Coturnix japonica: one gene and its partners. The protein of the gene in region 3 interacts with the protein of the main gene of each other region in a biochemical or structural test. Links are inferred from orthologs where the notes say so. Each region holds a gene or a part of one and is shown on either strand. Other genes may lie near its edges.

Region 1 (3,649 bases), on a different chromosome or scaffold from region 3:
ATCTACCCTGACTGAAGTGAGGGAGTGCCTTTCTCAACGCATTCGTGACATGCTACAAGTTTACTGCATTCTTCTTTTTCTTTTGTTTCTCAGTGATTAAGCCTATTGCATCAGTTATTAATCTCTCAGCTGGGTGCTTGTTTGTAGGCCAGCAGCTCTGCAGTTTTGACTGTGAACGTCATTTGGCAGTTCCTTGCAAATTACCTGTTTGGGTGGAACAGGTAATGTCTTAGCAGTATTTACCCCAGTGAGCAAATATGTGTCAGTTCTAAGCAAACAGTTGGGAAACAGTAATGCTGGAGTAGGTGTTTTTAGAGTCTTGGAATTAACCTGGTAGATCCTTTGTCTCTAATCCTTATATTTCCATTTTTAGGCACAGCTGGAAGCCCAGAGAGCGACTCAGGATTTTCAGAGGGCGACTGAAGTGCTGCGTGCCGCAAAGGAGACTATTTCACTTGCTGAGCAGAGGCTTCTAGAGGATGACAAACGTCAGTTTGACTCTGCCTGGCAAGAGATGCTCAACCATGCTACGCAGAGGGTAATAGAAACACCGGGATGCTTTTCCGTGTTCAGTTTTCTTCTTTGAGATGTGATGCAAGTTTGTGAAGCACATTTTTTTTTATATCGGTCCAGACATATGACCTGTAGGAAATGAATCTACAGAAAATTATCAAGCCTGAGGTTAAATGATTTGGGCCATGGGCTCCTACTGGCACAAACTATAGCTTTCTATCTGACTTTGCTAGTAGGTAGGGGAGTGGCTCTTGCTTAAAAAAAGAATAATAATAAAAAATCACCATTAGTTTAACAGGGGTGAACAGCATCCCTGGGAATATTTGCATTTAAAGCCATGCAAAAATAATTGCATTGGGATGGCTTAATTGCATGGGGATGGCTATTCCTAAGTGTATGTGTTGCTGAAACTGACCATGGAGTACCAGGGATGTGTTCCAATGTAGTGTCACCTATTTTCAGCACGACGTTAGTTTCAGCAAGGCATTTTTGTCTGGAGTGTATCTGCATGTGGAATTACTAAGCGTGTGTTGCATTTTAAGCTTGCACACTTCTGTTATAAATTTACTTTCAAATTTAGAAAGGATCTTACCTTCCTGGTAAGGTCTTTTTAAGTCTACAGAGAAGATGCAGCAACAGTGAAAGGCAGTATTCATTTTTAGCAGCTGTCAAGAATTTTCCTGTCATTTGCCTTCTCTCTTTTTCCTTACCTGTTAAATATGCAGAAAGGTGTTGTGGTTTTCTTCTCTTTCTTTTTAACATGAAAAAACCCAAAATCTAAGTTGAAATCCTTTGTTCTGTCAGAGTTCCCCTGATATGTCAGTGAAGCTGAACTTGCTATTCCAAGCGTGGGGAGCGTGTCGTACAATGCTGGCGTTGTCTTGCAGTCTTCAATGCAGTAGCTTTGTTCTGTTGCAGAAGCTTCTTGGTTATAAGAAAACCTCTATTTCAGACTGAATTCTGAAACCAGCTGCCAGATGACGAAACAGAGAACAAAAAGGATGTTGGCTGTGTTGGGGAGAGATGGAAAACCCGGTATAAACTAAAACATGAATAATTAAAAAACGCACAGAAATCCGCTGGGGAGTAGTTGGTGTTACTGTCCCTGTCATTAAGTATTTGCAGATCTGGTAACCTCTGCGTTTCTGAACCCAGCTTTGCAGTGTGTTTGCCAAGACACCAACAGCTGTTGTTTTTTCCTTGGCTGTTATCCCTGTTTCATGTGAGTGAGGTCCAGAAATGCATACGCTATTTTTTTTTTTTATCCTCAGAGTAGATAGATGAGGAAGAAATAGAAGCTCCTAAGGAGTTGCTTAGAGTTTCTCTAAGGAGTTGCTGAGATGATTGAGAGCAGCCAATCAGCTGGCTCCCTCTAGCAGGCAGGAGAGAAGAAATGCTGGCAATTTTCAGGGTTTAAATGGATTCCTCCTTTCCTTGGATATCCTTAAGGAATTCCTGTGTCCTTCTGCAGCCCTTAATTGTTCTCAGACATCCTGCAGCCAAGACGAGCATGCCTGAGATTTCCAGACTTGGTGACTTAGAGCAGAAGAGGACTTCTCACAGTGTTTGGTGGAGCTGATGGTGTTTGCATGTACTGTCACTGAATGCAAGAGGTCTCCTTGTCCGGTCTGAGGACTGACTGAAACAGTGACTTCTCTGATGGTTGCAGCTGAACAGAACATAGGAGCCTTGTGTTTGCTCTGATGTAAAATCTCCTAGGCACAGATTGATCTGTGTAGAGCAGCTGAGGACTTACTGGATAGGCAGTGTGTTACCCTACTCTTTATGGTACTGAAAATAGTCTGGGTAAACTCAGATCCCAGAAAGCACATATCTTTGCCTTTCCAGGATACTGCATGTTTGGAAAGAAGTACATGGAAGTTTTCCTCCTGATTTTCATTAACCCTTTTAGCGATGTTGAGGATAGAGCCAGAGCCAACAAGGGTAAAGAAAACAACAACAATAAACAAAAATGTCTTGACTGGAAAAGCCTGGCAGTGGTTTGTTTGGAATACTGTCTGCGTTTCAGTCTTCTTTAAAAGCCGAGTGAATATGTTCTTCATTTCAGTGCATGCAATTAGTGAGGTTCTTAGGGTTCATTGAGGTACACAAACTACCATCAGTCAACCAGCACTCTGTTTCCATGTGGAAAGTCACTCTTGGAGAAGCTTTTTGCAGCCGTTGGGCTGCTCTTTTTTGGATTAGCTTTTTTTTTTTCCTTTATTTTTTTTGCCTATAACTGTAAATTACATCTATTGGACAGAGCATAATCTTGCACTGTGCCTTGTACAGCAATGAATCAAGTGCCAAACAGCATCTCTGGGCCAAATGTCAGAAGTGAGTTACTAATTCATTTGTTTCTATATTGGTAGAAACGAGAGGCAAGAGCGGAGTGTTTTTATTTGCCCTTCCTAGGCAGCAGTAGCAGACTCTATTGAATTAATTCAAAATTTGGAACAAATCCGAGCCCTAAAGCAGCTTGGTAGCTGACAGACAGTGCAGAGAACATAAGGAAAAGGGATAGGCAAGAGGACAAATCAGACACATCTTTATTTGTATAATCTTGTATGGAAATAAATCCTGGTTGCTTTTCCACTTAACCTAATGGATGCGAATGAAGACTTGAACTGCAAAGTACCTATTAGGAAATGCTGTTTGCAGATCTTGGTTGAAAAGAAATGGAGCTGAGGGCTGCACAGTGTAACTGCCTTTTGATTTCTCCATGGTTTGAAAAGATACTGTCACATTGAAAATAAGCGCTACTGGTATAACAGGATAATGTCAACAAGCCTTTTGTAGCCACTGAAATAGAGAAATCATCTGTGTAACTGTTTAGAAATGCAAGTGTTGGTGAAGATCTTCATCTCCTGGATGGGTCAGAAGCATAACATGTGGGAGATGTGTCTATATGCAGAGCAGACAACCAGCATGAGTAGGTACCGGGAGTACAGGTTGTCAGTCGGTATTTGGGTTTTGGGTGTGGGAGTCTTCCCTGTCTGTCGGTACCTGGAGTTGGTGGCACAGGTGGCCAGTGAAAGGAGGGATGAGGGGCAGAGATCTTTGCATTTATAATTATGTAAAGGTCATTCTTGGATATAAATGCATCCAAAAGAAAAGAGCTGACAGAATATTACCT
Region 2 (3,649 bases), on a different chromosome or scaffold from region 3:
AGTTCTTCGGTCATGTCTTGTTTACTCTTCATGAAATACATGCCAGAGATGGATATGCTGAAGTGTATTAAGCACATTCATAATAGTTGTGCATTAAAGTTCACATATTTAAATATGCATGGATGTGCTCCCTATCCAATCCACAACTTCATGTCTTCCTACCAGTTCCAGGAGCTTTACACCTTTATCTTGTGGGCAGCCAGCAATCTGAATTCTTGTGTGTACAGATTGCTTTTCTTGCCCCTTTTGCTGTCCTTCCTCTCACATGTCAGTAGCTCTGGAAGTGGTCAAAGGGACCTTGCTGTTCATTCTGCAGAAGAGACTTAGTAGGGCGAGGGTGGGCTCCGGGGCCAGGAAGAGAACCCTAAGCTTAATCCTTTATTGCAGAGGCAAAGGGAAACTGGTGGTTATCCTCCTCCAGGGCAAGATTGACAGAGCCAAGATGTATTCAATACCTGCTTGAGTTTCTTTAGTTTTGGTTATTTTTTTTCCTTCTGTTCAGTCCTTGCTTCCTAATAAACTGTTGGGGTCCTGAGGTGGTTCCTTCCCGGGAAAGGAAGTTGTTGTTGTTTTTTAGTTTACCTGTTTTTTTTCCTGGTTCATCATGTAGTCTCAAAGAAGGGGAGGAGTTACCTTCCAAGGCTGGGGTGGGGAGGGGATTCATGGCTTTTTAGACTGGCTAAATGCCTGACAGTAAGCTCAAATGGCATTAGACAAGTCAGTTAACCCTTGCTACTTTACGCCTGCACTTGTAAGCTCTAGTATGATATGCATTTAACTTTGTGCAGTTGATGGGGGAAAAGTTATTTTTATTGACTAATCTGTTCTGTTTTGTTCTTTTTTCAGGTCTCCCTTGCAATTATGGAGTTTTAGAAGAATAAAGGAGTGTGGAGGGGGAATCCCCCTCTCCACACATAAGGTAGTCGGTTCACTTCAGAATTTTCTATGGACAACAATATTTGTTATATATGATGGTGAAATAAGACTATTTAAAATATATATTTTTAAGTATTTATTTGGATCAAGTGCCAAATATAACATTACACAGATTTCTGATGGCAGCTCAATAAAACTGGATTTACATCTTTGGAATTACAAATTTTTTGAAGGCACTGTGTTGCATACTGAGTTGGAGTGCCTTGATATTCTTAATGGTTGTTCCCCTTAAGGAGAGGAGCAGCTTCCGAAGTGAAGATGAATTCTCTCCTGCCAGACTGCACTTCTAAGTGTCGATCTCTACAGCATGCTTTGGATGTTATTTCTGTAGTAACCAGAGGAAGTGAAGGCCAGATCAAAGCCTTTCTTTCTTCTTACTGCTACAACGCTGCAACTATAAAGGATGCCTTTGGTAGAAATGTTCTACATCTTGCTTCATCCTGTGGCAAGAAAGGTGTGCTGGACTGGTTGGCTGAGACCAAAGGAGTGGATCTCTTGGCGAAAGACAAGGAGTCTGGATGGACAGCTTTGCACAGAAGTATATTTTATGGATACATCGACTGTGTTCTGTCGCTACTGAAGGTGAGTATTTGCAACTGCAGTTTTTCTTGGAATTTGTGAGTTTTTGAGTGGTCTCAGTCACTTGAAAGTGAGTGGTTTTAAAACATGAGTGAAAGCCTCTTGAAGGTTATCTTAGCACTGTATTTAGATCATAGTGCACTGATATACTTGAAATTTGTCTTTGTATTCCTAAAATATATCTGTCTTTGCCCACTAAGAAATAAGTTCTGAGTAAGAGTCCCCAGTCAGTTGTGGACTTCCCTGAAAGACTGGTTTCACAGAATCACAGAATTGTAGGGGTTGGAAGGGACCTCCAGAGATCATTGAGTCCAACCCCCCTGCCAAAGCAGGTTCCCTACACCACGTCGCACAGGTAGGTATCCAGTCGGGTCTTGAATGTCTCTAGAGAAGGAGACTCCACCATCTCCCTGGGCAGCCTGTTCCAGTGCTCCATCACCCTCACCATAAAGAAGTTCTTGCGCACATTCATGTGGAACTTCCTGCTGTAGTTTCATCCCATTACCCCCAGTCCTGTCCCCACTCACTACTGAAAAGAGACCAGCCTCACCACTATGGCCCCCACACCTCAGGAATTTATAAACCTGGATCAAATCCCCTCTCAGCCTTCTTTTCTTAAGGCTATACAGACCCAGTTCACTTATTCTCATTTCATTTATATTTTAACCAGGGCTTCCACTTGGTTCCCTTTGTTCCTTCCTTGTTATATTGCTGCTTCTTCCCCTCCTCTTAGCAAGTTGTTTTTCATTTTTACTTCCTCCTTCTTCTGTTCCTCCAGTCCAGAGTAGAGCAACAGGAAGATCTGCATTTGATTGAGATGTTCAGGCTCCTTTTAGCCAAATATTTGTGGTTCAGGATGACTTAAAGCAAACTTTAAGGCAAAGTCTTTTGCATTTTGAGTTCAGCTTTCTAACATTGCGGTGACTAGCAATTTGTAAGCATTAAACTCTCTGCTTTCAAGAAGCAGTTTGAACAAAGTAGATGTGGATCCAGTAGTTCTTAATTATTGGAAGTGTGATAACTGATAAATATGCATTTCATGTGTTGTACTCCTGCATAGTGAGGAGGTTTTCTTTAAGCTTTCCAAAAGTAAATGTTTTTATGAGAATTGTAGGTGGTTCTGTTCTGTATAAAACTGGAAGCTGTATATGTGATGGTTGAGAAGGTATTGAATCCTCTAGTGTGTGTATGTGTCTCTGTGGCTTTGATATTTGCTTACAGGAGGCTGTTAGTGTTTTTCCCAAATGTGTTTTTTTATCAGTTGCATGACTATGTGAGGTTGTTATGATAGGTGGCTCTGTTGGTATTCCTCTTAGAAGAAAAATGAGTCATGGAGAGTGCTCTACCTTCTAGTTTCCTAACTCTCGCTCTGCTATGCAGTGTTATTAAAAGCATGTGTTCTTAAAAGCATGTGTTATAGATCATAGTTATGAAATAGCTGAGCTAGAAAGGGACCTTGGAGCAATTGGCTAGTCTGCACATCTGTACTTCAATGTTTTAACACCAGTTCAGTTAAAGTGTTTATATGTTTAAATGGAACTTCCTGTGTTTAAATTTGTACCCATTGCAGCTATACCTGTCACTGGATACCACTGATAACCCGTCTTGTTATGTATATGTATATGTATATAAATATATATATATATATACATATATATTTATTATACATACACACACACACACATATATATTTATATACATACACACATATATATACATATATATATACATATATATATGTGTGTGTATGTATATAAAATATCTACAGTCAACAAGAAGGGTCAAAAGGAAGACTTAGGGAGCTACGGGTCTGTCATGACTGAGGAATGTCATGGAACAGATAGTTTTGACTGTGATTTTATGGTGTGTGCAAGGACAGCCAGGAAATCAGGCTCAGCCAGTGTGGATTCATGAGAGGCAAGTCCTGCTTGATTAACTTGATTTCCTTCTGTGAGCAGATGATCCGTCTAATGGATGAAGGAAAGACTGTGAATGTAGTCTATGTAGACTTTAGTAAGGCCTTTGACTCTGTCTCCTGTAGTATTTTGCGAAGCTGTCTGGCTGTAGCTTGGACAGGTACAGTTCTTGCTGAGTAAAAAACTGGCTGGGTGGCCAGGCCCAGAGAGTGGTGGAG
Region 3 (3,649 bases):
GATATTCTTTGAGTACCACCTGGAACAGGGAGGGATACAACTATCAGGGCGACCCCCAGGCCAGCCCTGTTCACATCCTGGCTTGATCCTGACCCAGAACAGGATGTAAAAGGTCTCCAACTGAGCACAACTTGCCAGATCGCCACACTTTCTCCTACTCACTCATAAATCTCCAGGGAATTGCTGGTTTCGGTGACATAGTTGCTAGGGATGTATCCTTCCCTTCTGCAAGAGAAAACAGAGTCTGAGACCAGTTGGGATTCCCCAGTGTGAGGTGGGGGTCCCTGGGGCTGCCCTGGGAGCAGTGCTGGGATAGAACACAGCTGCAGGGTGAATGCCATGGATAGTGGGAGCTCTCACCCATTTTTGTCACGGGCTTTCCACCAGGGCAGGTGGCTTTCCTCCAGGATGAGGTACTCCTCACCCTTCTGCAGCTGCAGGTCCTGCACATTCATTGGCACGTAGTTGTACAGGGCCACCACCTTTTTCATTTCGCCTGCTGCACTGGGGGCTGGCTCAGGGGGCAGGGGCTTCATCACCATCTTCCTCACGGCAAGGGAGAGCAAGGAACACGGTGAGGCTGGCAGGCATGCTGTTTCCTGGGCAAAGTCCCTCCCCAAGCCTGGCCAGGTTAGCACAGCATTCCATCTCAGCTCCCACATTGAATTCCACCAAGAGACTGACCCATCCCAGAGTTTTTTTACAGCCATATTTCCTTCTTGGAGTCCTGTCTTCACCAAAGCTAAGATTTTTCCCCTGAACCTTTGGTCTTTATCCTGTATCAGGGTTACTCTCTTTCTCAGCTCCCCCTGGGGACCCTCAAGGTGAGATCATTAAATGTTCCTTCAGCTTTTTGGGCTCCATCCCCTGGTTCAAGCCCCCTTGGGCTCTAATTTGACATCCCCCTCCAAAGCCAAGTTCTGGTCTGTAAAATTCTGCAGACTTCTCTTTAAACACTTTGGAGCAAACCCATGTTCACTGGTCCTTACCGTGTCCTCCTCAGGAGTGGGGGGAAGAGGCTTCTTTGTTTTGCGATGTGACCGCCCAGCTTTTAAACCTCCACAACACAAAAACAAAGGTGAGCACAGATCCCTACCTGTGGTGGGCAGGTGGGAAGTGATCACCAGGGCTGGCAATGGGCAAGGGGAGGGTGCCCAGTGTCTTACTGCCATTCCTGCTCTCCAGGATCTTGCAGCCCATGGCGTTCTTGGCTGTCTGGGAGCAGCACAGGTACTGGCCATCGATCCAGAAGCAGGGATGGTACTTCTGCACCAAGTCGCTGTTGTATCGGATAACTGCAGCCAAGGAGGGGAGATGCGTGTGACTCCAAATGCAGATGATCAGCCCTAGTAAATTATTTCACTCCCTGCTTTCCCACTGACACACAATTACATGGCCCTGCTGCTTGGGTTTCCACCAGCTAGCTGCTCTTGCCTCTGTGCCATCAAGCTGCTAGCCAGGGGAGGGCCAGCCCTTCCCTCTCAGATTTGATCAAAGCTATTCAGCAGCTCTGCAAAAGGACATGAGCACATCTGGAGGGCCAGGTCCTGCTGCAGCCAGTCCTCCTGCATGTCCAGCATCCCCCAGGCTGTCTGTTGAGGTCCACAACTCACAGGGCTTTTGAGCCTTTGGTGCTGGACCTGGTTTTCCTGTGGGCAGAGCAAGATGCACCTACCATCCCCTGCCTGCTCAGCAGCCTTCCTTGCTGGGGACTGCTCCCAGACTTCTTGCTGCTCATCCCCACGCTGTGGGACACCTGGATGTGCCTAAATGCCACCTCAGCATGATGGCCCACACTATCTCCACTGCCTGCAGAGAGCCCTGTCTCTCCAGGAAGCAGGATGTGGGCATCCCGGCAGCAAACAGCCAGTATTTCTCTCTCTCTTTCCCTGCAGATCCTGCAATGGCTTCCACTGCCACCACACCATCCTCCTGGAGTGGGGAAGTGGGGCTGGCAGCTAGGCAGAACAGCAGGGCTCTTGTGAGATAACTGACTTCCCTGTTATCAGCCCGCTCTGCTTCCTCCTTGCTCAGGCAAACTTCCCTGTGTCAATGTGAGCAGCTAATCTAACCCCACCAGCATAAAGCAACAGAAAGATACACACACACACACACACAGGCAGCTCCATCAGATTTTGGCTGACCACAAACAGCTCAGCCCCTCTGTTAAGTGCTGCAGCAAGGAGCTCACAGCTCGAGGAGAGAGCAGCTCCTCAGCAAAGCATCAGCTCAGCAACACCACATGGAGCTTGGAATGAGCTCAGAGATGCTGCTGGGCTCCTAATACACTTTTTGTCCACATTTCCTTCCTAATGCAATGGGGGCTCTACCCTCCCCTTGGTGGAGCTCTGTGGCCACATCTGCCATTTCCTCCTGCTCTCAGCGACTTCTGAAGATGATTGAACTGCTCTGGAGCAGGTTTGTGGGATGGCAAAATACCTCAGACAATGCTGTAGGAATAAGTAGGAGGTGAGTGCCCCCTCTCCCCAGGCTCACGCTAGCACAGGGATGGTACAAATGATGCAAGCAGGGGAATAGCCTTATGACTTTGCTCGTCATGGGAGCACTTTCTGATAGAGCTCTCTCCTCCGCAGATATGGGATATCGTAACCACGAGGCAGCAAGCCCCCGGAAACCCAGCGCTCTGAGTCACACCGCATGTGCAGCCAGGTGCCCCAAAACTCACCGCTCTTCAGCTGATGGATCCAGCGTTTGCGCAGCTCCTCTGTCGGGGAGAAGACATAGAGGGGCCCCTCGTCATACACCACCTGTAGTACACCAACGTGCTCAGCACCAGGCCATGGCTCATGGGGGGAAATAGGAGAGCAGAGGCTTGCAGCCACCCGGAGCAAAAGCCGTGCCGTTGTGTGCTGGCCCCGTGGTGCTCATGGAACCATGACAGAGACGTTATAAATAAGCCCCTTCCCCTGAGACTTTCCACTTCCTTCTCTAACTTTCATTGTGCTGGGTGCCAGTGAGCACGAGCAACTGGGCTGGGGGCTGAGTGAGCAAAGAGCATCCATCCCTCCAGGACTGGCCAGGGGACCAAAAATGGCAGGACAAAGCTCAGGGCCAGCATCCATCTCCTTTTCCAGAGAGCCGCCCGATTCCTCACTGCCCATGAAGGCTCATCAGCCTGCCCCACACAGCAGCAGGGTGTCCCCAAAATGATGCTGTGCTTATCCTCATGTCCCCCTGCTCTTCTCACCCCTGCTGCAATGCCAGCTCCTACCCTGCAGCCAGCTGAAGCAGAAAGGTGAAGTGAGCACGATGAGAACTAACCTGAAAGGGGTAGGGGAACCGCTCAATGATGGAGATCTGCTCCATGTTGTAATCCTCCCCTTTCCTCTGGAAGAGAGAGGGAAAGATGGACACTGACATCCTGCAGCTCAGCTGCTCCCACAGCCCTTGCCTTTCTCCTGCCCCGTGCTCTGTGTTGGGCTGGACATCAGTATAGTTTGGACTGTGTGCACAGAGCTCCATACCAGACAGCACTGCCCCAAAGAGAGTACAGGGGACAGCAGCAGGGACGCTCACCGGGACCTGCCGCTCAGGAGGAGGATTGTTTTCGGGCACCACCGTCTCCACACAGGTGATCTTCTCAATGTCCACCGAGCCCTTCTTGCTGCCTCGACGCTGCAAGAGACAA

What was found.
Region 1: the proteins of BTK (region 3) and SH3BP5 form a complex in vitro, tested with the Homo sapiens proteins (2 studies listed by BioGRID, with this or other methods). The link is inferred for Coturnix japonica from reciprocal best matches to the Homo sapiens genes BTK and SH3BP5.
Region 2: the proteins of BTK (region 3) and IBTK form a complex in vitro, tested with the Homo sapiens proteins (2 studies listed by BioGRID). The link is inferred for Coturnix japonica from reciprocal best matches to the Homo sapiens genes BTK and IBTK.

What each region holds. Positions count from the first base shown.
Region 1 is NC_029517.1:38,179,104-38,182,752, forward strand, and holds part of SH3BP5 (SH3 domain-binding protein 5), read left to right. Parts: intron 1-373; coding exon 374-538; intron 539-3,649. UniProt on the Homo sapiens protein: Functions as a guanine nucleotide exchange factor (GEF) with specificity for RAB11A and RAB25. Inhibits the auto- and transphosphorylation activity of BTK. Plays a negative regulatory role in BTK-related cytoplasmic signaling in B-cells.
Region 2 is NC_029518.1:71,346,860-71,350,508, forward strand, and holds part of IBTK (inhibitor of Bruton tyrosine kinase), read left to right. Parts: intron 1-846; 5' UTR 847-919; exon of another isoform or gene 920-1,169; 5' UTR 1,170-1,194; coding exon 1,195-1,518; intron 1,519-3,649. UniProt on the Homo sapiens protein: Acts as an inhibitor of BTK tyrosine kinase activity, thereby playing a role in B-cell development. Down-regulates BTK kinase activity, leading to interference with BTK-mediated calcium mobilization and NF-kappa-B-driven transcription.
Region 3 is NC_029519.1:1,979,189-1,982,837, reverse strand, and holds part of BTK (tyrosine-protein kinase BTK), read right to left. Parts: intron 3,637-3,649; coding exon 3,538-3,636; intron 3,349-3,537; coding exon 3,283-3,348; intron 2,769-3,282; coding exon 2,687-2,768; intron 1,296-2,686; coding exon 1,167-1,295; intron 1,058-1,166; coding exon 990-1,057; intron 543-989; coding exon 361-542; intron 226-360; coding exon 163-225; intron 20-162; coding exon 1-19. UniProt on the Homo sapiens protein: Non-receptor tyrosine kinase indispensable for B lymphocyte development, differentiation and signaling. Binding of antigen to the B-cell antigen receptor (BCR) triggers signaling that ultimately leads to B-cell activation.